Macaca fascicularis: one gene and its partners. The protein of the gene in region 1 interacts with the protein of each later gene in a pairwise test. Links are inferred from orthologs where the notes say so. Each region holds a gene or a part of one and is shown in the gene's direction. Other genes may lie near its edges.

Evidence for each region.
Region 2: the proteins of KLRC1 (region 1) and PMP22 interact in binary tests that used the Homo sapiens proteins (3 or more experiments, as listed by UniProt). The two-hybrid records come from large-scale screens. The link is inferred for Macaca fascicularis from reciprocal best matches to the Homo sapiens genes KLRC1 and PMP22.
Region 3: the proteins of KLRC1 (region 1) and MAL interact in binary tests that used the Homo sapiens proteins (3 or more experiments, as listed by UniProt). The two-hybrid records come from large-scale screens. The link is inferred for Macaca fascicularis from reciprocal best matches to the Homo sapiens genes KLRC1 and MAL.

The regions. Positions count from the first base shown.
Region 1 is NC_088385.1:10,464,736-10,472,292, forward strand, and holds the start of KLRC1 (NKG2-A/NKG2-B type II integral membrane protein), read left to right. Parts: upstream 1-3,664; 5' UTR 3,665-4,037; intron 4,038-5,004; exon of another isoform or gene 5,005-5,110; 5' UTR 5,111-5,182; intron 5,183-7,211; 5' UTR 7,212-7,242; coding exon 7,243-7,429; intron 7,430-7,557. UniProt on the Homo sapiens protein: Immune inhibitory receptor involved in self-nonself discrimination.
Region 2 is NC_088390.1:15,313,057-15,320,523, reverse strand, and holds the start of PMP22 (peripheral myelin protein 22), read left to right. Parts: upstream 1-2,288; 5' UTR 2,289-2,461; intron 2,462-5,039; exon of another isoform or gene 5,040-5,163; intron 5,164-6,203; exon of another isoform or gene 6,204-6,361; intron 6,362-6,840; 5' UTR 6,841-6,874; coding exon 6,875-6,952; intron 6,953-7,467. UniProt on the Homo sapiens protein: Might be involved in growth regulation, and in myelinization in the peripheral nervous system.
Region 3 is NC_088387.1:713,034-720,754, forward strand, and holds the start of MAL (myelin and lymphocyte protein), read left to right. Parts: upstream 1-2,542; 5' UTR 2,543-2,627; coding exon 2,628-2,720; intron 2,721-7,721. UniProt on the Homo sapiens protein: May be involved in vesicular trafficking from the Golgi apparatus to the cell membrane. Plays a role in the maintenance of the myelin sheath, and in axon-glia and glia-glia interactions.

The DNA.
Region 1 (7,557 bases):
AAAGGGATATAAATGGACTCCCTATTCAATAAATGATGCTGATGAAATCGCCTTGTTGTCTGGGGTAATTTCTGAGGTTTGTTGTCCCATGACCACAGAAAACCAGGACGTGAACCCACCAGAGGGAGGTTAAGAGAGGAGGTTTAATGGGCAAAAGAAAGAGAAGAGATCTCTGCACAGGGAGGTATACTGGAGAAAATGGGTTGCTGCTTCTGCAGTGAAATGTGGGTTTTATAGATGAGCTTGAGGGGGCAGGGTCTGATTTACATACGGCATGAAAGATTGGTCAGACCAGGCATGCCATTTGCATAGCACTTAAAGAAGCTGGCCACTCAACCCTAATCTTTTATTATGCAGATGGTTGTCTACCTGGCCTGTGCCATGTTCCCTGGTTCTTTACTAGTGACAAAGAAAAGGGAAGATGGAGCCTCCATGTTGAAAATACCTGACTTCCAGTCAGTCCCTTTTCTATTGGCACAGCTGCCATCATTCATGCATGCAACCTTCCAGCCTGCTTATCTACGTCTGCTGCTCGATTTTTCAGGCTACTCTTTGTTAGAAAAGAAGTTATTTGGGGCTGCTTTTTGTTAAAAGGGAAGCCTTGCTGAGGATTCCTTCACCCTCACTATCTGCCTAAATAATTTCTTTCTAGTTCCTGTATCACTGGTATAACTGGCTAGCCATGTGCAGAAGAGTTAAAATGGACCCTTACCTTTCACCATATAGAATAATTAACTCAAGATAATTAAAATTTTAAATGTTATACCTCAATCTAAAAATTTTAGAAGAAAACCTAGGAAATACCCTTCTCAACATTATCCTTGGCAAACAATTTTTTGGTTATGTCCTTAAAATCAATGGCAATAAAAACAAAAATTGATAAATGAGACCTAATTAAACTAAAAAGCTTCTGCACAGCAAAATAAACTGTTAATGAAATATACAGACAGCCTGCAGAATGGGAAAATTTATTTGCAAACTATGCATCTGACAAAGGTCTAATATCTGGAATCTGTAAGGAATTTAAACAGAACAACAAGGAAAAACAATAACCTCATTTAAAGATGGGCATAGGACATGAACAGACACTCCTTAAAAGAAGACGTACAAGTATCCAACAAGCGTATTAAAAAACACTTATCATCACTAATCATCAGAGAAATGCAAATCAAAACCACAATAAGATACCGTCTCACACTAGTCAGAATGACCACTATTTAAAAGTCCCAAAACAACAGATGCTGGTGAGGCTGTAGAAAAAAGAAAATGCTAATACACTATTGGTGGGAATGTAAACTAGACTAACCACTGTGGAAAGCAGTTTGGAGATTTCTCATAATACTTCAAACAGAGCTATGATTTGACCCTCAATTGCACTACTGGGAATATATCCAAATGAAAATAGATCATTATATCAAAAAGATGCATGTACTCGTTTTTATCACAGCACTATTCACAACAGCAAAGATATGGAATCAGCTTACGTGCTCATCAGTGATGAATTGCATAAAGAAAATGTGGCATATATACTCCATGGACTAGTACACAGCCATAAAAAAGAATAAAACCATGTTCTTTATAGCAACATGGACAGAGCTGGAGGCCATAATCCTAAGCAAATCAATGCAGGAACAGAAAACCAACTACTGAAGGTTCTTACTTATGAGTGGAAACCAAGCACGGAGCACACTTAGACAAAAATATGGGAACAACAGTCACCGCAGACTACTAGAGGGGAGAGGACAGTAGGGAAGAATGGTTCAGAAAACTACCTACTTTGGATTATACTCACTATCCTGGTGTAATATACCCATGTAACAAACCAGCACATGTTCTCCTTGTATCTGAAAATAAAAGTTGAAAGAAAAAAAATTGGAAAAATTCATGTAACAAACCAGCACATGTACTCCCTGTATCTAAAAATAAAAATTGAAAGAAAAAAAAATTGGAAAAATTATCAAGGACAATTGACTGGCCAAAGATTTTTTGAGTAATACACCACAAGCAGAGGAAACCAAAGCACAGATGGATAAATGGGATCACGTTAAGCTAAAAAATAAACAAAACCCCCCACAAGATTCTCTTATCTTAGACTTTTGACAATGTGATTATATTGTGCTTCATAATAGTGTTTTTTGGGCTGATCTTGCTTATGATTCATTGAGCTTCATGAATCTGGATTTCCATATCCTTCCCAAGTGAGGAAGGTTTCCAGACAGTATGTCTTTAAAGAAAAAATATTTTTGACCTTTTATCTCTCTCTTCTCCTTCTGAAGTTTCTATACTTTCTATACCATATTCTTGGTGGTGTCTCAAAGGTCTCTTATGCTTTATTTGCCACTTTTTATTCTTTTTTCTTTTTTTACTCTAATTTGTTAATTTTAAATGACTCTTTTTTGAGTTCACTAATTCTTCTGCGTGTTTGAGTCAGGTATTGAAACTCTTTATTGACTTATTTCTTTCTTTCATTGTGTTCTTCAGCTCTAGAATTTTTGTTTGGTTGTTTTTAGTGGTTTATATTTCTTTATGAAATTCTTATTTTGTTCATGTATTTTTGTTTTAGAGTTTTTAGTACTCTCTTCTTTTGCAACTCACTGAGATTTTTAAAGATGATTGTTTTGAATTATCTTAAAGGAAACTTATAGATCTCCATTTATTTGAATCAGTTGCTAAAGCTTTATTCATTTCCTTTGGTGGTGTCATATATGTCTGATGCTTTGTTATTTGTTTATCCTTGTACTGGTGTCTGTGCACTTGAAAGAGCAGACATCTCTTTCAGTCTTTACAGACTGGTTTCGGTAGGTTAAGACCTTCTCCTATTAGGGTCCTGGGCTGATGAGATTGCCTTCAGTGTCATGGTTGAATGGGGTTACAGCCGGATCACATGGTTGCTTATGGGTCCAGAGTGGGATCTTTGGTTCATGATCCTGTTACTAGGGCTTCTAGCAGGCTTGTATCCTCCTTAGTCCCTCAGAGGACCAAACTGGCTCTAGCATCATACTCTATAGGGCTGGGGAGGGAATGAGGGTCCACTTCAGGGTCTGTAGATGGTGGGTCTATTATTAGGTGTGTAGTTGGGGGAGAGTTTATCTAGTTTTCTGGGAAGGCTGCTCATGGGTCTCTGAGTGGGTTCCTCAACCTGTGGCTGAGAGGAGTTAGTGCTAAGTCACAAGGTTTCCTCGGAGTCTATAGCTGAAACCAGTGTCTTCATGTCTGTCTCTGGGGTCATGGATGAGTGTGTTTTCTGGCAGGTATCTGGGCAGGCAAACTTGCTTCAGACTGTAGTTAAGATGGGCTGGAGCTGGATCACAGGATTGTTTCAAGATCTGAAATAAAACTAAGGTCTGTACCTTTAGGGGCACTTATGGTGTCTCTCTCCAGGTCCCTGTGTGGGCAAACTGCTCTCTAGCATAGCTGAGGAGGGTTGAACCCCCTTTTCTGGCCCATTTCAGGATGTGCTGTGAAACCTAGGTCAACGGTCTCCCAGTCGGGACATGGATGCACATGCCCTCCCTCTGTATCCCTGAGCTGGCAAGACTGCTCACAGCCCACAGCTGAGAAGGATGAGGGTCATGATTCAAGGCTGTTTCAGAAACTACCATGGAACTGAAGTCAGCAAGCCTGTACTGCTGCCAAAGATGAGTGAGTCTCACAGCAATTTCCTGTGATTAACTCAGGCCACAGTTGAGAGGAGTTTGAGTGGAGATTCAGGGCCATTTTAGTATCTTCTAGAGGACAGAGGTCAGCAAGCATGCCCCAGGGGAACAGATGTATATGTCTCCCAGGAAGTCTCTGTGGGTGAAAGACTGATCTCAAAAGTTGTGGCTGAGAGTAGCTAAAGCCAAGTTAGAGGGCTGTTTCAGGGTCTACATTGAGACTACAGTTGATATGCCTACCTCCTGAGACACTAGTGTTTGAGTCTCCTCCTGGGCCCCTGGACAGATGGTTTTGGCAGCATGACGAAGTCCTAATGCGGCTGAAGGCAAGTCCACAGGAGGATGGGTCTCTTTTCAGGTCTGGAGATGGAATCACTGTTGGTAAGTCTGCCACTTGGATGCAAATCTATTCTCTAAAGCAACCCTCCTAGGTCTTGGGTTCCACTGGCATTTTACAAACTCCTACTTGAATTCCAAAACTCCCTCAAAGGGAGTTTCCTCCACTTTTGTCTGTGGATGGCTGAAACATTATTGTTGCTGTTGGGGCATATGTGTGGGGGACCACCTATTCTGCCAATTTGCTGACTTTTCTCCTAGTGAGATTTTAAAATTACTTTTTCCCGATACAGAGCCTGCCTTCAGTTTTTGTCATTTACAACTAAATATTTCTTTCGAAGTTGAGATAATTTGTTATGGTGGAGAATGGATAAATGAAGAATATGATGAATAGCTATTTAATATTTCAATCTCTGGTATGCTAATATATTTCAAAATTGATTAATATTTTACCCTTCCAAGATACATTTATTTTCATCAATGGTAATCTGAAGATTAAATAATCTATTTTTTAAAAATTAAATGCAAAAATTTAAGAACTAAGTTAATAACATAACTTTGGCAATGATGGTTTTTGTGTCAGCTACAGTCAACTGAGTAATTACTGCAGTAATTTTTCAGAATAATTAAGGAAAAAATCAGTAGCTATCAGTTGATAATGTTACTATGAGTTTTAGAATGTTTTCTATTATAATGGAAGTGACATAATAAAATAATATAAAGAAAAGAAGTATGCAATGTTAAGATTTAGCAATCTAGTCTAAAAGGCACTCTTAACAAGGTGGGGGTTGGCAATGTTTGTGATCAAAACAGAAAAAAAAATTCTCATAGGTGCTTGAAAAATGGACCAACTAAATGACCCACTTTCAAAGTCAACCTTGTACTTTTAACAGACCAGAGTATCCTATATTTTGGAGGTGTGTGATGAGATTAAACTGATTTCACAATAGCCCATGTGTAGAATTTCCTGTTCAAACCTTAGTAACACGTTGATGAGAAATCTACTTTTTCCACTCTTGACTCACTCTGAGCCTTCACAGGGCAGTCTGCGAAGATTGTAGGCATTGTTTGTTCTTGTCCTGGATTTATGCCTTTAAATTTCACCTTTTATTTCCCAGCTATAGCAGGCCTTTTTGTGAGACTAACCTGGCCTCTCCACTAAAGGATGTGTGACTTTCTGGGGACAGAAGGTATGTGTTGCTACTCTCCAACTCTCTACTAGCCTACCTCATTTAGTGGGTGATTACAAGTGCTCAATATGGTACAAAGGAGGTATAATTAATATACAGTAAAATCAAAGTAGAACATTGCTGTCTTCATTTGAATAACTCAGGGTAAAAACCATATGAAATATGTTGAAGGATTTCTTAAAGTTTTCAAATTCTTGTTTGTGGAAACCTAGTGGGTTTGTTGATCAATATAATTTAAGTGAAACCTATTAACATCACAATAATGAACAATTAATTTTGTATTTTGTAATCAGTACATCATGTATCTTTGAATAATAATTTATATTTAGCTTAGCCATTAAAGATTATTAAAATAAATGAATCAATTGATGAAAGCCAAATACAGTTCCTCAGACATGTAGATTAAATAAAAGCAGTTTTTATTTTTAATAAAAATCACAATGAGGTAGAGTACATAAAATGCTAAAGGTAATACAAAACAATCAAAATACTTTTTTAAAGTTTATCAAAATATTGCAAAAAAAGATGTAGCACACGGATATAGGAGACTTATCTGAAGATTCATTTTCCATTCTTTAACTGACACGAATCAGAAACAGTAACATAACAATTGTGACTAAAATAATAATTAAAATAGCTAATGCTTATTGAGAACTTTAAGTGCCAGGTTGAGTGGTAAATGTTTTACATGCAACGTTTTATATGTTCTTATTCCCGTCTTAGATTAACAAACTGGGTTATTAAACATAGAATAACTTTTTAAAGGTCACACATTGTAAGTGTCAAAGCTAGAATTCATTCTAGATCTCACTCACTCCAGAGCCCATTGACTAAATGATTTAATTACATTATCTGAAATTTTACAAGTACTTACACAACAAAAGTGGCCTTTACTCACCTTGACAACTGTAAAATCTTTCTATAAGTTTAAATGAAATGTGCTTTAACATGAATTACCTATACTTTTATTTATCATTTTTTGGTTCATAATTTAGCCAGGAAATAAATTACCAATTACTTATTAAATTACCAATACTTCTATAAGTATTAACAATTTATGTGGTGTTCCTAATACTATTTAGGTTATTCATAAGTTAACAGTGTCATATAGCATTTCCTGACATGTACAAATATTCACATTTGTAATCATTTTTAGTAATTTAAATAATTTTTAATAATTTCTTAGAACATTTCAACCATTAAGAAAAGACCATTTAATTACCCCTATTGATTTTCATTAATGTATATAAATTACTAAATAAAAGTAATTTAGTGCAAGAAATTTATATATATGTGTGTGTGTGTATATATCTCAACTTTACTATTACTCATGTGCAGACCACATCGTCTTAACCATTACTGGATTTCAAAATTAACATAAAAATGAGTGCAGAACTTTTTCTAATACATTTTAATTTTTAATACAGGTAAAGCATCAGACTTTAAGAAATGTATTTTTATTCCTGAACTTTTTATTCCTTAGTAATTTATTGCTTCTTATTGCCCCAGCAATAATATTTTGTCAAACGTAGAAATTTCTCTCTTTTTTTTTTTTTTGAGTCAGAGTCTCACTCTGTCGCCCAGGCTGGAGTGCGGTGGCACGATCTCGGCTCACTGCAACCTCTGCCGCCCGTGTTCAAGCGATTCTCCTGCCTCAGCCTCCTGAGAGTTGGGACTACAGGCGCCTGACATCGTGTCCGGCTAATTTTCGTATTTTTAGTAGAGACGGGGTTTCACCGTGTTAGCCAGGATGGTATGGATCACCTGACCTTGTAATCGGCACGCCTCGGCTTCCCAAAGTGCTGGGATTACAGGCATTAGCCACCGCGCCCGACCCAAAAATATATTTTTTAAAACAAATATTTTACCATAAGAAACTTGTTTAGGCTTGAAGAAAATTAGAGAAAGAACTTTAGATTCTTTAATGCAAAATGAGCTCCAATACTCGTTCTCCACCTCACCCTTTTAACTGCACTAGGGAATATTGTATATAAACCATTTATTAACTTCTTAACTACGGTTATTGTAGAGTACAGTCCCTGACATCACACACTGCAGAGATGGATAACCAAGGAGTAATCTACTCAGACTTGAATCTGCCCCCAAACCCAAAGAGGAAGCAGCAAAAACCTAAGGGCAATACAAGCTCCATTTTAGTAACTGAACAGGAAATAACCTATGCGGAATTAAACCTTCAAAAAACTTCGCAGGATTTTCAAGGGAATTACAAAACCAATCACTGCAAAGGTAAAGCATTTAAAAGATCCTCAATATAACAGTCTAGGATGTGCAGCTTGGGGTACAGGGATGTGGGGAAAGAGCAGGGAGTGCTCACATGTTTTCTATTTGTAAAGATCAGAATTTCAAGTTGAGAT
Region 2 (7,467 bases), on another chromosome or scaffold:
CTGAGCCGATGAAGCGTGGTGTAGCAGAACAACTCAGGTGCTGGAAGTAGCCAGTCTCATTGACTCAACTGTGTTTCCTCAGATAATCTCGATTCTCATTTTTCCTCTTCATAACTGGAAGGGAGGACAGTAAATAATAATAAATGTTATTTGGCGACTATTCTATGTGTTTATTTTGCAAGAGGCTCAGTGGGATATTGCCTACAGCTTTGCAGAGACATTGTCCCATTTGGCTGACAACAGGGTTATTGGAAATGGGAGACAGGGGACCAGGAAGGAATTTTCCTCACTTGGCTCTGGGAAGGGAAGAGAGTCTGGCCCAGATGGGTAAAGACAAGTGTGTTGGCATTTGGTAGACAGGGCCGGTGGAACACAACAGTAACCAGCTCTGGTGCTGACAGCCAACAGGGACTCTAGGGTTTGGCTGCCAGAGGACCTGGACAAAAGAGACAGGAGGCCAAGGGAGCAGGTCTCAGAATGTGGAGCTCATGGAAGCAGAGAGGTAGGGCTGATCAGATTGGTCCTATGTAGCCAGAAACCATGCCCCACACTCACTAGGCCCTGCCCCTTTTCCTCGGAATCTTTAGCTCTTAGATCAGAAATAATCTTAGATGTCTTCAGGCTTGATCCTGGCCTGAGGGAGAGCAGCCTCTGTCATGTAGCCTTTGGACCTGAACATGGCAGTAACCAGGAAAAGGCTGTCTGGAGAGGCTGCAAAAACCCATGCTCACTGTTCCCGGTCCCTGTACAGACCATGTCAGAGGAGGATTGAGGGAGGCTCCTCTTTCTCTCTCTCTCTGTCTCTCTCTCTCTGTCTCTCTGTCTGTCTCTCTCTCTCTCTCTCTCTCTCTCTCACACACACACACACACACACACACACACCTGTTTTGCCTGGCAAAACTGACCTATAACTTGCATAATCCTGCAGCAGCCCACACTGCACCTCATCTCCATTTGGGTTCCACAACAGAAGGGAGCTGGAAGGAAATCAGGGACAATCTAACCCCACATGGCAACCTGGCTGGATAACCAAACATCCAGTGGGGAGAGAGACACTGGAAATTACCCATACCTGAGCCCCATCCCACACCACCTGAGTCAGCTTCTCTGAGCATGGCCCAGGCTAGGTCATTCACAAAGCTCTTGAGTGATTCTAAAGAACCACTGCTGGGAAAAATAAAAATGATTTCAGCCAAGAGAGAAAGGTGAAACTGTTTCATCGGCGCTGGCTGTGATGGTGACTGTGAGCAGATGCTGGCTGTGGGCAGAACAGGAGAGAGGGCCATTGAGAGGCCCTTGTGACCGGAGAGTCCAACCACACATAAAGTGTGTGACAGGGAGGGACTTCTCCAAACTCTGCAGGTCTCTCCAGACTGGGGATCCCTGACACAAGAGGAAGTCTTATGCCACGAGTACCAGAATTGCAGGAAACTCATGCAATGAAACCAGTCCCCTTGTGTTGGAGCTTGCAGCTAGAAGCGGTTCAAGGGATGGAGGACTCTCTGGGAGCTGGAGTGGGTACGCTTCAAAGAACCTAAAAATGCCATAACTTCCTTTACCTCCCTCTCCAAGAATTTCCAATTGCGCTTCCAGCCTATCCTGCCTGACAGGTTAGAAAGCTTTCAGTAGAGGTTCGTTTACTTACACTGAATTATCTCATGAAGGTCAGCTTGATGAGGGCACATTAAAGACAGAGTCGGAAGAACCCATTTCCCTAAGTTTTATTCTAATGTACAACACATGTGATCGTTTGCGATGGGGTCTAGGCAGACAGAGCAGGCAACAGAGAGTCTTTCCAACCAGGGATTGGAGCAAAGCAGGCTTGATTTGGTGACTCCTGAGACATTTGGCTCACTGCTGTGATGCTGTGAGAGATTAGCTGTGCAATGTTTGGGCCCCTTAAAATGATGTTTATTTAAAATAAAACTTACCTGCACATACGTAACACTGTAGACACAGATCCTTCACAGAGTATATTTAATCTCTGCAAAATTCACTGGGAGGGGAGGGGAGCCAGTGGGGCCTCTTGGGTATTACACAGGTTGGCACTTCCAGAGAGAACAGCCTTGGCATCACAGACTTCAGGCATACTCAAAGCTCTTCTCCCTTCTGATTCCAGTTTCCCCATGCCCTGCAGGGCCTCTTGGGATTACTGTATTCTGGAAAGCACACAAAGTTGGACACTGTCTCTTTAAATAATAGAGGCTGAGAACCTCTCAGGCCACCATGACATATCCCAGCATTGGACCAGCCCCTGAATAAACTGGAAAGACGCCTGGTCTGGCTTCAGTTACAGGGAGCACCACCAGGGAACATCTCAGGGAGCCTGGTTGGAAGCTGCAGGCTTAGTCTGTCGACTGCGGGTCTCTGGCTGTCCTGTGGGGAGGGCCTTGCCTCAGCATCCCTTGCATTTGACTGCAAAGAAATCCGCTTGGAAGAAGGGGTTACGCTGTTTGGCTGGGTGAGTTTTATTGGCAACCTGTGCCTCTGGGTGATGCATGCCTATGCTTTACAAGAATTGCCTAATTCCCCACCCCCTGCAAGCTGCAAATGAAAAGGATTGCAGGAGAGATGGTGCATTTGTGTTGGAATTGACTGGACATTCAGGGGGTTTTTTATATCCTTGGTTAAGAGGTGGATATACACTCTGGCTGGGGAGGTGGGGGGCCATCTGAGAGCATCTAGAAACCCTAATGCATCCAGATTGAAAGGAAGAAAGGAATCTAGATGCTTCTTCCCCCATGGAAAATAGCTGTTCACACACACCCGGCAGGCGGCCTTGGTAAGCAGGTTAGGGAGAAGCTGCCACCTGTGGCAGAGCCTTGACCAGCCGGGCTCTGGGTGTGGCAAGCCTGGTCAGCAGGCACTGAGTAGCATTTCCTCTCCCACCATTGAGAGCCAGGCAGGAGACCAGAGGCAGTGAGGGACAGATGGGTTGGGTTTACCTGTCTGGCAGCGTATGGTGTCGCTGTGACCTGGGTGGTTATTGATTAAACTATTGGGTTCAAAAGAAAGGAAGAAGCGACCTGTAACACCCAATATGTACACTTTTTTTTGTATGTGTATTAGACTTTATTAAAAAGTTTATTTGAAAATCACAAAGGAAGGGAAAGAAAATCCTGAGTTAGATTTGCTAATATTTGTAAAGTGCTTACTTAGAACTGTCCTGAGTATGTAGTAATCACAAAAATGTTGGTTAAATAAATAAATGTCCAAACAGCATAAAACAAAGTAATAATTTCTAGAGCAAATCTAACCTATAAAATGACCCATGGAGGAAAGAAAACACTTCCAGGTCTTTAGACATTTTTTTTCTACTTGCCTATGCACTTTCATTTATAAATATCTATCAATCTATCGATCTACCTGTCTATCGATCGATCGATCGACCTACCTATCAGAGTTACAAGCTACTTTCATGCAGAGGTGGTCAGGTCTTCCCTGAAGAGTTGATGTGAGAGTTAAATGTGATATAACAATAGTGGTGGCAATTTGGGCACTGGGCCCTTATTATGTTGCAGACACGATGTTAACTGCTTTGTACATATTGTCTCCTTCAATCATCACCATAAACCTTTAAAGCAGGCATTACTAGTTCCTTTTGCATCTGAGAAAACTGAAGCTCACTGAACTTCAGAAATTGTCCAAACTCACAACAAAAGTAAGCAAGGTGATTAGGTTTGTTGGAGCCCAGAGACAGAATGCCTAACCACTGCCTCTCACAGACCATGCATACAAAAGTCCAGGCAAAGTGCCTGGCGTGTAATGGGAACTGTAAATACAATTTACAAGTACACTTCATTTTAATCTGATAACATGAGAGTTTTAAAAAGATCACCGTTTGAAGACTTTTTCAAATTTATTTTTACTTACAGTAAGAATATACAATTAGCTAAAGTAGCAGCTCCTTTCAAATTGTAAATTAATATAGAATTATTTGAATCATTGAGAGGGATGAGCTTCTATGACACAGTACACTAGAGGTAGGGAAGTGTGTGTGTGTGTGTGCGCGCGCGAACTGCTGCATTTTCAGGCAAAGACCTTTAACATCCACATTCCTGCTCCCCGTCCTGTGCATCAAGGCTGGCCTGCGCACGGGAGTCTCAGTTGGGCGCGCCTCTGCCAAGCGGAGACTGAAGGGCTAGCCTCTCTCCCTGTAACGCTGGGCGGGTCACGTTAGGAGGCTATGAATCAGCTGATTTCCTTGGCTGCTCCAACCCCACCTCAAATGGCCACCTCGCACCCGCCCCCTAAACCCCATGGCCAGGACGCCAGCCAAGGCCGACAGCCAAGCCCGACTGCTGCAGGAACACTTTGCCTGAGCTTATTCGGTGGTAGTCTGGTTTTGCCCAGGCTAGGAGGAGCCCAATCCCAGACCACGCTATCCGGTAGTCGCCGGACTTTTCTTTCCCTAATTCGCACTCAAGCAGAGCCCGCTAGATCAATCCCTGCCAATCCTAGGAAGCCGGCATGCTTGGTAGGTGCAGACAGTAATAGCGGGGACCGACGAGGTGCAGGTGTGCCCGGCTAAGACGCCAGGACAGGGCAGGGGCTCCAGGACCCGAGAAGAGAGGGACTTCCTTCAGCGCTCAAGCGCCCGCTGCCCTCTGTTAATGGGAGTGGAATCCAACCTCAGCCCCGCGCGGCCGCGGTCGGCGTCGGCGCGCCCCGAAACCCATCCTTGGGCATCCGCTGAGCTACATTTGGCTGAGTCTTCCCAGGGTGGGCTGAGGAGCCAGTTTCTCGGTCAACACTAGGTTTCCATGATCTCCACGGGGCCGGGGGAGGAGGGAGGTGGGAGGTGAGAAAGCTCGGCCGCCTCTGGTTTCGAGTAAAAGTCGCCGCGATTTTGCAGAGACCGACTTTTCCCTGAGGCGCATTTAAGGCCAAGTTAACTGTCTCCTGCCCTCCCTCTCTCCTGCCCTCTCTCCTCCCTGAGTCCCGCCCTCCCGCACACGCTGACCCAGGGACACACCCTACTGCAGCGACGCAAACAGGGCGTTGTTCCCGTTAAAGGGGAACGCCGGGAGCCTCCCACTGCCCCCTTGCTTCGCGCGCGCGCAGCCCCGCAGCGCAGCTTTGACCGCGCCGGCAGCGGAGCCAACGCACCCGAGTTTGTACTTGAGGCCACCCTGAGGATCGGGACAGCTGTTCCTTTGGGCTGTAAGTGATTTGGTGGGGACAGTGAAGGAGATGGAGGAGAAATGTGGGCATCTTCCAGTGAGGGTGTCAGAAGGCGCAGAGCAGGCGCGGGGCTTTGGCCAGCTCCCTGGAGCTTCTGTTTAGGGGCACAGGGTCCCTTGTGTGTCCTGTTCCCTTCCAATGGGGCTTGGAGTAATACAACGAGGGGAGCCTTTATGGTCTGTAAGACCTTACAGGGCAAGGGTGATGGTGCTGGTGTCTGGATAGAGCATAAGGGCGTCTCAGTTTTCGCCTTGCTGAAGAGGCGTTGACTCCGGGACACAGTGGCAAAACAGCCCCTGTGGCGGACATCCCGAGAGTGCTGGACTCTTGTGGCTCCCCAGTTCCCAGCCTCATGCCATCTGTTTAATTCAAACCCTCTGGGAGTCATCAGAAATCCTTGTTTATTTCTTCCAGCGCATTCCAGTGTCTTTGAATGTGATGCTTGTGGAGAGAAACGGAGGGGCCTGAGATTGGGTACTTTCCAAACTGGGTTATTGAAACGTTGTTTCCCTGGCCCAAGACTCTGCCTGAAATGGTCCCCAGAGTCTCAGTCAGATCTTCCACAGCCATGCATGTCCTCTAACAAGTCATCCCAGCCTTCACTGCCCCCAAAGTCTAAAATGAGGGGCGAGGACCGCATTACTTGGGATAGATGGCCTGCCAGCTCTGACCGGCTGAAATTATCGGACTCGGCCTTTTACTCTGTCTCTCTTTCCCATCCGCTGGACATCTACTCCCTTCGGTCCAGGCTCCTGGGCTCCTGTCCCACCGCGCCCAGACCGGAGCTCAGTCTTGATGGGGTCCGTGTCCTGGCTTTGAGTGCCTGGGGTGCAGACTGGACCCCTAGGCGAGCATGCGGGTCTAGCGCAGGAGCAGAATGCCCCCTGCCCCCAGGAGTCTCAGTTGGGCGCGCCTGGGGAAGCGCGCGGTGGACGGGAAGCGCAGGGTCCGGGCAACCCTCCCGAGCCATTTTTCCTTTCCACACTCCTCTGGCTCTGCACCGCCTCTCCGGAGCCGCCAGAGTCTGCGCGAGGCTGAGCTGGGGCCAGGACGGTTCCTCTACGCTGGCAGGATTGGGTGGAAACTTGGAGACGAACGGAATGCGGAGAGCACTGGGGTCTGGGAAACCAGCCTCCTCGCTGCTGTCTCTCCCAGCGCATGTCACGGGTATCTCCAGGTCTATCACGGAAATCTGGGCGCCTACTCCCCTCACCCCTACCTCCACCCCGTAGGCGAATTCACAGTCTGAACTGGGGTCTCGGAGAACGGGACCTCTCCCCTTACAGGGCGGTCTCCGGGAGGCGCTCGGGGTGGGTGGAAGCGTGCAGTGGCCTCTGGTCATATTTTCTGGAAACCCCTCTATTCCCTGGGTGTTTTTAGACGTGCGAACCGCTTGTTTTGTTTCTAAAAGCAAAGATGTTCCGTTGCAGGCGGGTCCGGCTGGGCGCTGGACGCTGGGCGCTGGTCCTGCAGGAGGCTGCTGCCCCCTCTCGGCGGCAGGCGGCGCGAAGGCTCCTGACCCGCGCGGGCGGGCGGGCGGGCTGCGGGCGCTGGGCCAGGCCGGGCCTCACGCTAGTGCGCGGGACCCTCCCTCTGCGCGCGCCTCCCTCGTTCGGCCCAGTGCGTTCGGCCTCACGCCCAGCGCTCTCCCCACAGGCAGAAACTCCGCTGAGCAGAACTTGCCGCCAGAATGCTCCTCCTGTTGCTGGGTATCATCGTCCTCCACGTCGCGGTGCTGGTGCTGCTGTTCGTCTCCACGATCGTCAGCGTGAGTGCCTGGCTGGGAGGCTCCCTGCGCGGCCCGCTCTTCCCTATCTGGGTTCCCAGCCCTTGCTCCTTCTGGTTCAGGACTGTGTTATTTGCAGACAGTTGGAAGTCTCAGACGTCCCAGGGAAGTTTCTGGCAATCTGCCCCCTTCCAGTTGCTTTGAGAAAACGAGAGCAGATTCAGTGATAGGAACGAAGCGAGCGCTGGGCTGGGTTAGGTGCGCAGGTCTCTATTTAAGCCAAATAACTTCACAGCAGATCTAGGGGCCCCGACCTTCATTTGATAAGATTGTTTAACTTTTTTTTTTTTTTTCTTGATGCAGCCTCATTGAAGAAGAGGGGTATTTATGGATTTTTTAAAATCCAAACCGTAGTCAGATGGGTGAATTAATTTATAAAACACCCTTTTAGGACTTGAAATTGGAAAGTTAAAATGGGCTTTTCTGGAAAAGAGTTCACTGGTCCCATGTCGCCTTTACGGCATGAACACAACGCCTTGTTAGTAAAGCTTCCACTG
Region 3 (7,721 bases), on another chromosome or scaffold:
GAAGCCCCAGATCCACCCTCTTATTCACACCCACTGGGAAGACTGAGGACACTCACTGAGTTACTACTGGCTGAAGTTATTTTTTCATATCCTGCTGGAAACCAAAATATGGTCCTGGGCTTCTGATAAGTATCAACCACCACATTGATCAGCAGGTGGCCCAGAGCACTTGGGGAAGCTGTGCTGGGAAATGAAGACAGGCCCATCTTTACTCACCAATGCCTCTCTCTTACCAATGTCTCTCTCTCTCTCTCTCTCTCTCTCTCTCTCTCTCTCTCTCTCTCTCACCAATGCCTTTCGTTCATCAGCAGGTGACCTAGAGCACCTGGGGAAGCCTACCAATGCCTCTCTCTCACCAATGCCTCTCTCTTACCAATGCCTCTCTACTTACCAAAGCCTCTCTATTACCAGTGCCTCACTCCTTACCAGTGCTTCTTACATCCAAACAGGGCACTTACATGTCCTCCTCTGGTGGTCAAGCACAGACAAGGCTAGAGCCATCCAGCATCGAGCACTCACCAGAGGTTGGGTTCGGCTTGGGGCTGAGGATATGCTAGGGTGGGGAAGGAGAGAGGCAGATGGGGGTGGTTGGAGGACGCCCTGCTGAGGGTAGAGTCTAGTCATGAAGATGAACATCAGGCGGAGAACTCCAGTGGAAGGAAGGAGTCACAGAGATAGGGACAAACTCGCTTGACCCTGGCCGGGCTGCCCTCCTCATCCTCTGAAGCCTCTTTCAGAGATTGCCGCCCCTCTGCCTTATCAAAGGAGGGCTGGGACTGCTGAGCTCGACTGAGCTGCCCCTGGAGTGAGCTTTCCCCAAAGGCTCAGGCCCAAGTGGGAAGAGTTAGCAACAGAGGCGTGAAAGAAGTAGCAAAATACCAAACCAAACTACAGACAAAACCCCTCCAGACCAGGCAAGGACATTATTAGGAGTTGATAGGATCTTCTTGTTTTTAATTAGTGTGTGCTGATGGGAAATTTCCAAGCTGCTTTCGCTGGACTGCCCGAGGGTCATCTCACCCCCCACTGCAGGCTGCGGCTTCCTGTAGCCACCTTGCTTTAAGGCTTGTTCCCAGGACGGTCTCCTGGGGAGGAAGAAGATGTCCTCTCAGAGGCCAGCAGGTCCAACTAGCGAGCTATGAGATGCCCACGGTGGGTGAGGACCTGGGCTTCTGAAGTCCCACAGCCCATTGTGCCCAGAGAGATGCTGCCCTGGGGACCCGACACAGTGAACTTGGTTGCAGCCATCCGAGCTAGCAGCTCTCAGAGGCACATCGAGGTTTTCTCATTTCAAATGCCTGGCCCCTTTCCAGAGGCGCTTTAGAATGGCCAGCTGATGGGAGCGCTACTTTTCTTTGGAAAATGCGTCCACGAATGTACTTCTCTCCCTAGGGACTGGGAAGGAGGAAGAATTGTGCAGCAGGGAGAGATGAGGGCCCCACTGGAGAGAGGGGAGCCCCTTGTCCTGCCTGCAGCAGCTGCCAGTGAAAAGAAAGAAGGGTTGGGAGTCTGAGCTGGAGGCTGCGGGGACAATTCCCTCTTGGCAGGAGAGAATCCGGACGGGGGCGGATTTCAGGCTTCAGTGTTTGTAGGAGGAAACACAGCAATCCACTATTAATAGTAAATTAAAATAAATAGGCAACTGCTGTATAGTAATACTTGTTTTGTTTTTTTTTTTTTTTTTAAGGCAAAAAGTAATAGATAGTGAAACAGAGAAACAAAACAGGAAACACTGGCAGTCAACAGGCAGCAAAGAACATGCGGGTGGAGGTAGCAGCGGTCCCACCCTCCAAAGGCCCGGGCTGCCCAGACCAAGAGAAAGAGATGAATCTCTTCTGGTAACGTCCCTTCCTGTCCCATGGAACCAAGGCAGACCTGCCCCAGCACCACCACCAGCAGCCTTCTGCTGGGGCCGGCACGGCTGGGGAGCAACCTCCTACCCTCAGGCAGGCGCGCAGCGCCAAGTACAGAGGCCCCGGTGCACGTTCCCAGCGCCGAACCAGCGCCGGCTCGGGGTACGCGGAACGGGCCGGCGGCCGGGGCTGGTCCCAGCCCCCACTGCAGACCCCCAGGCTGTGGCGGCGGTCCCGTTCCGCCAGGAAACCGCCGCCTGGAGCTGTGGGTCGCGCACATTAACGCATCCAGCGGCAAAATGAAGGAGACCCAAATTCAAAGTTAGAGCAATGGTGACCCGAGGGGTGCCTTGGTGGGTTTGGGGTCCCGGTTACTGATGGTTAACATTCTTAGGAGATACTGGTCACCTACGAAGCGAGAAAGGTATGAGGAGCCCCTGACCAAAGTGGTTTTGCCCTGCTTCCCACAAGAGGTGCCACCCACGGCTGGAACGCAGGAGTCAGGTCCACCGTCCCCAGCTCTGCACGCCCGCAGCGGGCCCTCGAGGAGGTTCAGGGCGGTGCCCGCGGCGCTCGGGCCGGGTCTCCCGGGGCGTGGGGCTGGGGGCGGAGCTGGGCGGCGGCCTGGGCTCCTCCCTCCTCTGCTCCGGCTCCCCTGCTCTTAACCCGCGCGCGGGGGCGCCCAGGCCACTGGGCTCCGCGGAGCAAGCGAGAGGTCTGCGCGCAGTCTGAGCGGCGCGCGTCCAGTCCCGAGGCCCACGCCAGCACGCCCTCATGGCCCCCGCAGCGGCGTCGGGGGGCAGCACCCTGCCCAGTGGCTTCTCGGTCTTCACCACCTTCCCCGACTTGCTCTTCATCTTTGAGTTTGTGAGTGACTCCTGGCCAGGGAAGGGACTGGGGGATGCTGAGCCGTGCGCTCTCTCGGGCGCCCAGCACAGCTCTCGGACTGGATCCGCTAGCTCCGCAGGTCCCGGGAGCATCGGGGCAGCAGGGACAGGGCGGGGACTAAGCCAGGGAAGCCCCCTCCCACCTCCGGTCGTTTGTCCCCTTCTAGACCAACGGAATGAGGGAAACAGTCTACAGGACTATGGAGGAAAAACCGGGTTCCCAACCGGGGTCGGATGTTGGCAGCGGGTCAGGCGGGGACGGCTCTTGGTGCGCTGGTCCCAGAGCTGCGCGCGGGGCCCTCCAGACGCGCCCGGCGCCGCCGAAGCTCACGCCGCGCTTTGCGCGGTTGGGTAGAAGTGCGCAGCGTTTTGAAGGGAGATAGTGTCGGAAAAAAAAAAAAATCAGCAAAAGAAACGTTAGTGTTACCAACCGAGATCTGGAGATGAGAGGGAGTTGAATCCGGTTTATTTTCTTCTGGGCTTTTACAGTTTCTGGCGAGGGGACGTATTTGCGACCAATTCGATCTGGAAATGAGGCCCTAGTTTGCGCGGCCGCAGTCCTTCTGCCCCGTGTGTGGGGTGGGAGTGGAGGAGACGGGGGTTGGGGGGGCGGCGAGAGCTATCCGCGTGCCCTGGCTGACCTTGGGCAGCCCCGGGGCCTCTGCACCTGCGGTCGGTCCCGCCTTGCGCGCACGGTCTCTGCCTGAGGCTGCGGGAAAGCGCTTCCTACTGAGAACTCCTGATAAGCGCTCAAGGCGTCGCGAAGCCGAAGTGACCTCCCTCAGCCTCAACTCCCCGGGGCCCGCTGGCCCTCACCTGGGAGGGGTGTGCCCTGTATATTCTGTGGGTGCGGTCCGTCGCCGCCTCAGGGACACCTTTTCCGGCACCCCACCCTCAGAAGCACAGGCGTGGAGAGTTGGAGGGGAAAGAAAATGTCGGAGCCTGGCTGTTTAAAAATTGGACCCCAGGTTGTTATTGCCTGATTGGAGGGGGAGGGTCAGTTCGTCCAAGGAGGGCTTGGGGGCAGGGGCTAGGCAGGGGCCGCTGCGGCGGCCTGGGAGCAGGACTATCATTGAACTTGGGGTGAAAGTCGAGTCGAACCCCAACCTGGGTGGAACCGGTGACTTTAAATCCTAGGGATAGGCGGAATCAAAGCAGTTACATTTAGAGGAAACCCGGGACGCCAATGAACGCAGCCCCACCATTCACAGAGAGCCAGCCCCGCGCTGGTCTTCAACATACAAGAGGGAGTGCCCCTGAGAGTAGGAACAGTCCAGTGAGACGGGGCGATCTCATCTGCGGGAAAGGTGACCGGAGGCTCCCACCCAACCCACCAATGCTGCAGAGACTACAGGGGTGTGGGAAACCTTGGAACCGTCTACTACTGGCAGCTTGCTCCGACAGCGCCAGCGTGGCTCTGTGGCCTGCCCATACGGGGCTTCCAGAACAAACAACTCCCCCTCGCCCAGAACGCTTCTCTCAGCTGACTTAGAAAGTCACTTCTCCACCTCACCCCTGTTCCCCACCTCCCTTCCTCACTTCCCAGGAGACCCGCAACGCACAGTCACCTCCAGGCGTCTTCCTCATGCTCTAGATTAGGGGTGGGCTAGCAGGTGCCTGGGAGAGAAGAGGAGAAAGCTGGCCCCAAGCCTCTCAGTTCTCCTCTGTGTGGACTGTAAATATGAAGCTGTATATATTTGATGTGTGGAAGGAATGCGGAATTAAACGGCCTGAGAAGGCGCTGGCCACCCCGGGGGAGGTATTTTTTTTAATTATGGAATATTACAACTTAACAAAAAGACAACCCAATTAGAAAATGAGCAACGGACTTGAACAGAGGTTTCTACAAAGAAGATATACAAATGGCCAATATGGACATAAAAAGATGCTTAACATCATCAGGCATTAGGAAAACAAAATTGAAACCACAATGAGGCCAGGTGCGGTGGCTCACGCCTGTAATCCCAGCACTTTGGGAGGCTGAGGTGGGTGGATCGCCTGAGGTCAGGAGTTCGAGACCAGACTGACCGATGTCTCTACTAAAAATAAAAAAATTTTTTAAAAAAACTTAGCCAGGCGTGGTGGCTCATGCCTGTAGTCCCAGCTACTCAGCAGGCTGAGGCATGAGCATCGCTTGAACCTGGGAGGCAGAGGTTGCAATAAGATCACGCTGCTGCACTCCAGCCTGGGCAACAGAGTGAGACTTGGTCTTAAAAAATACATAAATAAGTAAATAAATTAAATAAATAAATAGAAAGAAAGAAATCACAATGAGATACCACTTCACACCCATTAGGCTGGCTAGCATCCAAAAAATGGAAAACGTCAAGTATTGGGTGTGGAGAAATTGGAACCCTTGTATGTCGCTGGTGGGAATGTGAATGGTTCAGTCACTGTGGAAAACAGTTTGGTGTTCCCTCAGAAAATGACCCTCTGACCCAGCAATTCCACTCCTGGGTATATAACCAAAGGATTCAAAGCAGGGACTTTAGTATTGGCACATCCATGTTCATAGCAGCACTCTTCACAATAACACACAGCCCAGTGGCCATCAGCAATGAACTAAATAACAAAGTGCGACACACCCAAATGATGGATACGACCTGGCCATAGCAAGGAACGAAGTACTGATACGTGCTACAAAGTTGATAAACCTTGAAAACTCTATGCTAAGCGAAAGATACCAGGCACAAAAGGTCATATAGTGTATGATTCCATTTATATAAAATATCTGGAATAGATAAATCTGTAGAGACAGAACACAAACCCTGGTGGTTAACCAGGCACCGAGGGGAGCAATTGTTTAATGGCTATGGGGTTTCCTTTTGGGGGGTAATGCAAATGCTTTGGAATTAGATTGAGTTGGTGGGTGCACAATACCATGAATGCACTAAATGCCACTGAACTGTCAACTTAAAATGATTGGTTTGATGATATGTTAATTTCGCTCAAGTTTAAAAAACAAAAATAGAAATATTTCAAATATCACAGAATATATATAATACTTTAACAGACACCTATATAATTATTGCCCAACTTTGTCAAATCTTAATATTTTGCCTTGTTTGCTTTTATGTATTAAGGAAATGAAGCTTTCAGATGGCATCTAAGCCCCCTAGACATCCTTCTGTTATCTTATTCTCTCTCTCCCTCCATCCTCAAGGCCACCTGTAAGCTGAATGTGGTGTTCACTTCCAAGCACAGTCTAGACTTTCACTGCACACATATGACCTACACATGGCATTGTTTTACGTTTTCACACTTTATGAAAATGCCAGCGTACCGTACATATCCTTCTGCAACATGCTTTCCAGGCAACATTATGTTCTGAGATTTATACATGTTGACTTTGTTTATCCAGTCTTCTGTTAATAGACACTTGGGATAGTTCCAATTTGCTGCCTTTAGCTACTGCAGACAGCATTGCCAAGAACATTCTCATATTTGCCTCTGTAGTTACCTGTTGGAAATTTCTCCCATAAACACGTGGAGGATGTGACTTGTTGGGTCACAGGGGATATGCACATTGTCATTTTCCCAGATGTTACCACATTGCCATCCAAAAGAGTAATTCCAATTTACACACCCCAGGAGCAGATTTACTGGGAAGCCGATGATGTTTAACTAAGTTCAAGACCCCTCCTTACTCATGCCCCTTCCAAGACTCTGCCTAATTTTGTATTCTTTTGTAAAGATAGTCCCCCCAATTGTTTAAGCTTCAGGCTAAACCTGGACCTTCCCCGGCCCCCACCAGCAGCACATGAAAGTCGCCATTGTTCCTCATCACTTGGTAGCGTCAGACTTTATAATTTTCTGCTAATCCGATGGGTGTGAAATGCTTGATTATTTTTTAAATCTGTAGTCCACTGAGTTGTTGATGACTCATAGTTCAGATTCCCATGCCTGACCTCCCAACAGCCTGGGAGGCGCAGATGTCCAAGGCGATCAGGGTGGAGCACCACTTCCATGGTGAGGGGACTGCCCACTGGAGCAAGTGAGGGTGGCAGCTCAGGGTGGGGCATAGCCATCTCTCCTTGGCCCTGCAGCCCTATCCCAGACCTCCTGACCTCTGAAATCTGCAGAGTCCTCACAGGAAGAGGAAGGCAGGCCCAACTAGGAAGTGAGACTGCCTTTCCAAATACCTCCAAAGTCACAGAGGCTGTGCCCCTATTGCAGGTGGTGGGTCATCAGCGCAGCCCTGTATAGGCCACGGGTGAAATGGCCAGTGTTCTCTCCTCCTCCAACAAAACCCAGGGCTTTGCCTCTGGTCTGCTCCCCTGCAAAAGTCCCACCCAGTGAGGAACTTTTCCTTTTGGAGCCACTCTCTGTCTCCTCCTTCTCCATTCTAAGCCAGGGGCTTCATGACACTGAGCCACCGTTCAGGAAACAGAAGATGTGCAGGGAAGGCTTTCTGTCTCAGCTATGGCCCCCAGACGCAAGGTCTCCCACAGAGAGACCCCTGTGCCAGGAGAGACCCCTACCCTTTCAGGACTTGTGAAGGAAGTGGCTGAAGAGGGCTGTGAGATCATCTACTCAGCCTCCCCTCCCCAGGCCACAAAGAAGGCAGGGTTGCGAGTGAGAGCCTGAGGAATGCCACCAGCCCTCCAGGGGCACGCCCTCCTCCTCTGTGCCTCAGAAGCACCAAGAGAAGTGCAGTCACATCACGGGTTGGGGTTGGGGTGGGGAGACACCTGAAATCAGTTTGCAGTTTTGACAGTTTCAGTGAACTGGACAGAGTAATGACTAAAATGACACCTTTTCTGTGGCCCAAAGCGACCGGACTTTTATTAAGAGTGACCAGAGAAGTCTAGGGACCTACGCTAGATTTCTACCTGGCTGGGGAAGAGCCAGCCTGACAGAGCCGGGACTGGGCCACGGGCCGGTGATCCAAGCTGTGGCTGCATTGAGAAGGTGGCGTGGGAGCTCCTAGGAGACCAGAGATGTAGAATCACAGAAACCTCACTTTCAGACAGAGAGCAGC